Daphnia pulex: one gene and its partner. Each later gene encodes a partner of the first gene's protein in a complex. Links are inferred from orthologs where the notes say so. Each region holds a gene or a part of one and is shown in the gene's direction. Other genes may lie near its edges. The genes, in order: general transcription factor IIH subunit 2-like and general transcription factor IIH subunit 5-like.

Evidence for each region.
Region 2: general transcription factor IIH subunit 2-like (region 1) and general transcription factor IIH subunit 5-like share a complex: the UniProt entries of both Caenorhabditis elegans proteins name them as parts of the 7-subunit TFIIH core complex. The link is inferred for Daphnia pulex from reciprocal best matches to the Caenorhabditis elegans genes gtf-2H2C and gtf-2H5.

Annotation. Positions count from the first base shown.
Region 1 is NC_060021.1:11,747,595-11,751,999, forward strand, and holds the start of general transcription factor IIH subunit 2-like, read left to right. Parts: upstream 1-1,486; 5' UTR 1,487-1,643; coding exon 1,644-1,702; intron 1,703-1,765; coding exon 1,766-2,099; intron 2,100-2,153; coding exon 2,154-2,493; intron 2,494-2,554; coding exon 2,555-2,663; intron 2,664-2,725; coding exon 2,726-2,975; intron 2,976-3,038; coding exon 3,039-3,164; 3' UTR 3,165-3,503; coding exon of another isoform or gene 3,504-3,602; 3' UTR 3,603-3,667; coding exon of another isoform or gene 3,668-3,736; 3' UTR 3,737-3,830; coding exon of another isoform or gene 3,831-3,882; 3' UTR 3,883-4,113; coding exon of another isoform or gene 4,114-4,244; 3' UTR 4,245-4,310; coding exon of another isoform or gene 4,311-4,373; 3' UTR 4,374-4,405. Other genes in the region: uncharacterized protein LOC124193377, read right to left, coding at 1-252, 337-492, 555-702, 793-872; LIM domain-containing protein jub-like, read right to left, coding at 3,504-3,602, 3,668-3,736, 3,831-3,882, 4,114-4,244, 4,311-4,373. UniProt on the Caenorhabditis elegans protein: Component of the general transcription and DNA repair factor IIH (TFIIH) core complex, which is involved in general and transcription-coupled nucleotide excision repair (NER) of damaged DNA and, when complexed to CAK, in RNA transcription by RNA polymerase II.
Region 2 is NC_060021.1:7,407,787-7,410,844, forward strand, and holds general transcription factor IIH subunit 5-like, read left to right. Parts: upstream 1-1,464; 5' UTR 1,465-1,473; coding exon 1,474-1,566; intron 1,567-1,850; coding exon 1,851-1,958; intron 1,959-2,028; coding exon 2,029-2,118; 3' UTR 2,119-2,146; downstream 2,147-3,058. Other genes in the region: septin-1-like, read left to right, coding at 21-138, 198-307, 386-523, 594-765, 2,147-2,279, 2,338-2,431, 2,501-2,729. UniProt on the Caenorhabditis elegans protein: Component of the general transcription and DNA repair factor IIH (TFIIH) core complex, which is involved in general and transcription-coupled nucleotide excision repair (NER) of damaged DNA and in RNA transcription by RNA polymerase II.

The DNA of each region.
Region 1 (4,405 bases):
ACCACTCACATTTTCCTTGAATGGAGGGATCTGATCCAATGATGGGATATCACCGTTTAATTTCGACGATCCTTTCTTCACTTGTGGATTTTTTTTCTCTTTTGCTTTTCTCTCGCGCAGTTTCCGTTGGCTTTCAATTTGATTTTCTTCATCCTTTGAGTAATTAATTTGGTAAAAATACCAACCAATCTCCATCATAAGATAGCTCAGCACAGCCTCCACTTCATCCTGGTACACATCTATCATTGGCAGCTTTGAATTAAAATAAATAAAGAAAGAAATTGTTTAGTTGCACAATTTTTTCAATAAGTAACTTCAGACAGAGATTTGCCTTACATTGGAAGAGCCACATTTTTCCTTATTGGGGCATAATTGAGGCTTCACCCAAACAATAAGGGTTTTTCCTGCAATTTCTCCAGTGTTGGACTGCTTATTAAATGCATAGTAGAAACAAACAATACCATTGTCTGTAACCCATACATGGTTACAGTCCTATTAAAAAGTCATGTTAAAAAATCACATTCACTATTAACATTTCATTCAACAACTTTTACCTTGCACTTGCATGCCATGCTTAACTTTTCTTCTAATGAGTGTTCCCATTCATGTGTAGATGGACAATCATTTGTTACAGCAAGTGTCCAGGAATCTTTGAAATTCTTAAATTTTTCTTTGAATACTTTCTCCCACTTATTCCACATCCTAATTTGAAAATTTAATTAGAAAACAATATTATCAAACTTTTTTGTGGAGGAAATCATAATAAGAGAAGAGAAAATTTCAGATTTATACTTGTCATCAATTTGATCCCATCTCCTCATTCGATTGACTCTGGCTCTTCTCTTAGTTTTCAGTTGGTCTGGGACAGACATTCTACAACTTTCACACTGAAGTTAGAAATAATTAAGAACAATTCAGTATCTTTACAAAGCTTTTACATACTTTACCTTCAGCAAAATACTTGCAACACTATCTCATGCAGCTTTACGTAATGACGCACTTCCACCCAACGAAAAGATAAATACACCTGTTGCTGATTACGAATGCTTTTCGATTTTCGTATCAATACTTGTGCTTCACGTGAGCTACTATCATTATCACAGCCGTTAAACAAAATGAATTCTGTATAGAGAGTAAGTTTACAGCACACTTTTCAGATTTGTCATCACAATTTGCTTGCTACATTCCAATTTCCGTTCAGCGAAAATTGGAAAAATGTAACATGAGGCAATCGGGGCGGAGACTTGCGAATTCTCCCTACGATTTGTTAAAAAAGTCACGTGATAAACACAGGAAACGATTCAAATTTCAAAGGAAGGATGACAAATTTTCTGTGATATAGCCCATGAGTCATTATTTAAATATGATGTCATCATAAATTTTTCACAGTTTTTTTTCTATTTCTTTTTATTTATTTGAAATTATCATGTATTTTTTTTAGTTTGAATTCTCGTGGTTGAGTGAAATCTGGATCTGGAATCTGGCATCCCTGTAAAGAAACACAAGCAGAAGACATTTTCGAATAGGAAAAATATGTTCGAAAATAAGGTTCTCGTGAGTCGCAAGAAGCCAAGAACAATTGGTGTCATCAATTGAATATTTATAACTGTTTAAAACGCAAAAACCACGCTTATTTTACCAAAATGGCAGATGAAGAAGAAACCAATGAGTATCGCTGGGAGTCGGGATATGAAAAAACATGGTAAGTACTTAGTGATATGAAGTATAACCATGAGACTAAATTCACTTATTGAATGAAATCTAGGGAAGCTATTAAAGAAGATGATGATGGTTTATTGGAATCAAATGTGGCTGAAATAGTAGCCCGAGCCAAAAGGAAAAGAGCTGCCCTGAAAGCCACCGGTGCGATCCAACTTGGAATGATGAGGCATCTCTTTGTTGTTATAGATGCTTCAGAATGCATGTTTTTGCAGGATTTGAAACCTACTCGCTTCCTCTGTGTTTTAAAGTTATTAGAATTGTTTGTTCATGAATTCTTTGACCTTAACCCGATAAGTCAGTTAGGAATATTAACAACCAAAGTGAAACGCAGTGAACTTGTTACAGCCCTAGCCGGAAACCAGAAAAAGCATATTGAGGTAAATCTTAAGTTTATCATCAAGAAATCAAAATATAATTTTAAACATTCCTAGGCATTACAACAAATGAAGGATACTTCGTGTGAAGGGGAGCCATCACTTCAAAACTCATTAGAAAGGGCTATGAATGGTCTGAAAAACATGCCTGCCCACTCTAGTAGAGAAGTGTTGGTGTTATTTGGCAGCTTGACTACTTGCGATCCGGGTGACATAAAAAAAACGATCAAGTCTTTGAAGGAGAATAACATTCGGGTTTCAATCATCGGGCTGGCGGCAGAAGTAAGGATTTGCCGAGAAATTGCCAAAAGAACTGGTGGCACTTACAATGTTCTTCTCGACGATCATCATCTGAAGGAACTCATTCTAAATCAAGTGCAACCACCGGCTGTAGCAGGTAATTGTTTCTTTGGAATTGTTACTATTGGAACGCGGTACAGTGTAGCTTTGAAATTTAGGTTCTATGGAGGCCTCACTGGTGAAAATGGGTTTTCCTGGAGGTAAAACTGGTTCAGGCGACGGAGCTTCAGATTCTGCTGCAGATCACGCCCCAGCTTATTGTCTTTGGTAAATTATTGGCGATATTGGCGTATATTCAAGTGTTTCATCACTTTCTGTTTGCTTTACAGCCATATTGAAAACGAAACATCATGTTTAATGGGCAACAACAGTGGCTATAACTGTCCGCAATGTGGAAGTCGTTATTGTGAGCTTCCAGTTGAGTGCAAACAATGCGGATTGACTCTGGTTTCTGCCCCTCATCTTGCCCGTTCTTATCACCATCTCTTTCCCATCAAACCATTTATAGAACGAACAGAAGTTCCCGAGATGACGCATTGCTTTGCGTGCGCCAAGCCTTTTGGTGAATTGGATCCCAATGTAAGAATGATTATTGGTTCTTCGACGATTTTCTTACATCTGTTATTTATTTATTTTTTTAAGGTTTACGAGTGTGAAAACTGCAAACAGATTGTATGTCTTGACTGCGACCTATTCATACGAGAAACATTGCACACATGCCCTGGATGTGCTAGTGATCCAATCACAGCTCAAATGAAAACTAACTGAATAAAATTGTTTCATTCATTCAGAAGTTGAACTCCACAAATGTACATAACGTTCGGTTGGTATTAACTAAAAATTTAATGGTGTAATCCGAGTATTTGTGCAGTGTACATTTGCAATGAAAACAGAGCCAATCTATTAGGGACATTAGTCACGTTAGTTTGAATAAGGTACACACAAAAAAAAAGTCAAATAACGTCTTGTAGGATAGTTTTTGAAAATTAAACCTAAAAAGTTTTCGTCAAAATGTAAAAGCTTATATCGCACGTAATAATAGGAAAGAAAACCGAAGAGTAAAAAAAAAACATTTTGGTTTTGGCGTATTCGTGTGCTGCATAATTTTCAAGTGTCTTGCATAAGTCGACAGCTGCGACAAAATAGGCGGCCGTACAAAGGATAACATCGCCGCTCTGGCTCATCCGTTAACTGTAATCCACAACTCTAATAGCAAAAGAAACATTTAAAAATTGCGTTGAAAAGAAGACCTTATTTGTTGAATGTCAAACCTCGCAAACATAGCAATCAACGTGAAAATCCTTGTTCATAGACACAACGCGTACCGTCTCTTTGCTACCCTATAAGTGCATAGAAAAAAGAATGTCGTATCCCTTTCTTTTATGAGCAAAATTCAAATTTGTCAAGGGCCCTGGAACCAAATAGATCTCTCACCTGAGCAGGCGTGATAATTTCATCGCAAGCTGCGCATCTCGGTGCAAACATCCTTCACCCAGCAAGACAACGATGATACAAGAAAAGTGTTCAAAAAAGAGAGAATTAAGCAGGCTCTTAGGAAGTAAATATTCCTCCAATCAGGCAGGCAAAAAATGGCCCAGCACGTAAGAGTTTTGACTCAAAATAAAAACCATGTACCAAAGAAACACGCAACGGAGTGGTGCAGGTAATGTGGTACAACAGATCTAGGTGCAAAAAAGAGATGGAATACTTATTTTACCTGTGGTAGTCGGTCACACAGTAGATTTTATGATCAACGTCGATAGTGAATGGAACCCCGTCCAAGCATTCGTTGCAAACGCAGCAACGGAAGCATCCAGGATGATAAGATTTTCCCATAGCTTGTAAAATCTGTACAACATATTTTTTTAATGATTATAATTGAAACGGGATTTGTTCAGAAAATAAAGCTCTTACAGTTTCCATTATTAAATGTCCACACAGTCCACATTTCTCAGCAGTTTGTTGAAAGCCAGAGTACTGTGAAAATAGAAAGGATTTATAAGCAAAAA
Region 2 (3,058 bases), about 4.3 Mb from region 1:
GCTAATCTTTTCCTAAATAGGCTTAAACCCCTTGATACGCAATTTATGAAAATGCTGCATCACAAAGTCAACATCGTGCCTGTAATCGCTAAAGCAGATATGCTAACAAAGAAAGAAATTGCTCGGTTGAAGAAAAGGGTAAAATTGTGACCAACATTTAGATTTATTATAAACTTGTTTAACTAAAAAATTATTAGGTCATGGAAGAAATTGAGGCAAACGGAATTCGTATTTACCCACTTCCCGATTGCGATTCGGATGAAGACGAAGACTACAAAGAGCAAGTTCGTCAGCTTAAAGACGCAGTGTATGTAATAATTCATTCAGACTAATAACAATTATAATTCATTCATAATAATAATAATAATATAATTCATTTATTCAGACCTTTTGCTGTATGTGGGGCCAATACGTTGATTGAAGTTAAGGGCCGAAAGGTCCGCGGACGGCAGTATCCATGGGGTGTCGTTGAAGTTGAAAATCCTGAACACTGCGATTTCATTAAACTCCGAACGATGCTGATGTAACTTGTTTGACTCGTCAAAGATCGAAAATCTTGCATTGCACTAACGTTTAATTCTTTCATTATTTAGTCAACAGCTACAAGATTTACAGGAAGTAACACAAGATGTTCACTATGAGAACTACCGATCAGAACGTCTTGCTAAAGGTGTAGCTTCGAATCGAAAAACCGCTGGGCCAACTAATTCCACCGCGCCATCGGCTGCTCCGGAGCAGATTAGTGAGAAAGAAAAAATACTTCAGGTTAGTAACTATTGTGTTATTAATAGACAATGGAAATAGTGTTTCGACCGTTTGCATCATTGTTTTGTTCTCACAGGAAAAAGAGGCGGAGCTACGACGTATGCAACAGATGTTGGCTCAAATGCAAGCACAAATGCAACAACAACAACCTCAATAGCACTGTGCGTCGTCTTTAACAGCAATTTTCAGTTGTCACTTAAACCAAAAGGAATTCTTCTCTACTGTTTTGACTGTTTATTCAGCTTTGATTGCTGTTTCAACACCCTTGGCACTCTTACCTTCCAATGTGAAGATCTTAGGTTTCCTCGATAAAATCCCATTCAAGTGCCAACATTTAACAAATTCGCTGTGCTTCATTATTTGGTCACTTCACTAGTAATTTTCCTCATTTGCGTACATTCGAATTTTTCTTCCATGTAGGGCAATTAAAGCCCAGATGCGCCTCGAATATCCTACCCAATCATTTTCTTTTTAGTGTCTCGGACTCTCGGTACTGGTCGCAGTATTTCAATATACAATTTTTTCAGACTCTTGCTTCCTTTTTCCCATTAAAAGATTTAATTTTTCTTAGTTTTCTTGAAGTGAAACCAAACCTTTATGAATGGAAGTCTTGTAAATTTTTATATAATGCGCCAACAAACTCCTTTCCCGCTCAATTTAAGACGCCACCTACCGACGCCAATCAAAAGCTGGAAGTGCTGAAAGAAGATGCCAAAAATCCAAAATGGTGATCAGACGATCAGTTACTTACTTACTTTTTACCAATGGGGCAAGATGGTAAACGTAACTAAAGGAATTCTGGTAATAATTTACGGTAAAACTTATAAATGCCACTTGATTTATTATATCTTTGTATTTGAAGTATGGTATTTTAACTTACTTCAATCACTAGTGAAATTGACTGTGCTGGTAAAAGTTTCTTGTCAGAAAGAAAGCACAAAATATTCGATCGGACTATCCCGTGGAAATAGTCATAGATTTAGAAATTAATAAGTATCTCAGGTGGCAACTTATAATGGTTTACCTTTTCTTTACATGGTGCTTAATTGTTAAATTTATACTTGAATTTGTATTATTACCCAAAGGTTGAATGTGATGCTGCTATGAAACAATTGCTTCTTCATTTAGACGAGACACATGCTCTAGGCAACAAATTCATAGTTCAAGATTTGGATGAAACTCACGTTTTCATTGTAAAATTTAAAAAATACTTCTATTTTCTCATATTTTGTATTTTTATCTTTTTGACATTTTCTCTGTTAGGCACCTGAATATCTGGAAGTTTTGCAGTCTAGAATTGATGATTTGATGGACAGGATCAGTTTTCCTTTGGCAGAAAGAGAAATCGAGTAAATTATCTATCATCATGAATTCATCTCAGAGAGAGTCAGCCCGTCAGAAGGATGCCAATTCCAGAAGGGTTTTGGATGAGGCAGCTCGTAGGAGAAGAGCAAGGAAAGCATTGGAAGCACTTGAGCAAGATAATTTTCATGATGACCCTCATGCCAATTTAGGTATTTTTGTAAGTTGGCTAGTTTTCAGATCTTTCATTAATTCTGGATATTTATGCAGTACTAAGCAAAAAGATCCCCAAGTTTGAAGAGTCTCTTGATGGTAAACAAACAAGAAGAAGGAAATCTAAAAATTTCGAAATTTTCAAACAACGGTATTTTGTTTAATATTAATTGCTGAAACGAAGTGTAATTCTATTGAAGTAATTTCTCCTCTTTTACAGGTTTCGAAAATCCTTTGCACAGCTGTTGGAGGAAGAACAGGTTAATCGCCCAGAGCCCCCAAATTATGTTTCAGCTCAAGTTCCACCATCTAAGTTTCCCGAACGTCATTTTTGTGCTGTTTGTGGATTTACTTGTAGTTACACCTGTTTATCTTGTGGCGCAAGGTACTGTAGCGTCAAATGCTTAGGTACTCATCAAGACACGCGTTGCTTGAAGTGGACCGCCTAATAATATTCCATTGCTTTCTTACTTGTCATCTCATCAATAAACCCTTTTCGATTATACTTTTTCTTATTAAATGAACAAATAAATCAGCGCTCCTCTAACTATGATTAAAGTGTATTAAAATGCTCATATAAAAATCCTTTTGATTTTGGGCAAATTATAAATATGGAGCAACAGCACAAATTACATGAAGCTCGGTAGTCCTAGAAAATTTCATTTGCTGAAGCCTGAAGGCTTGATTATTAAGGAGGTAGGGGGCAATGCACGTGTTGGGGAAGAGGGTTGAAAAGACAGTCACAACAAATACTTAGAAAATGACACGAGGCGACGAA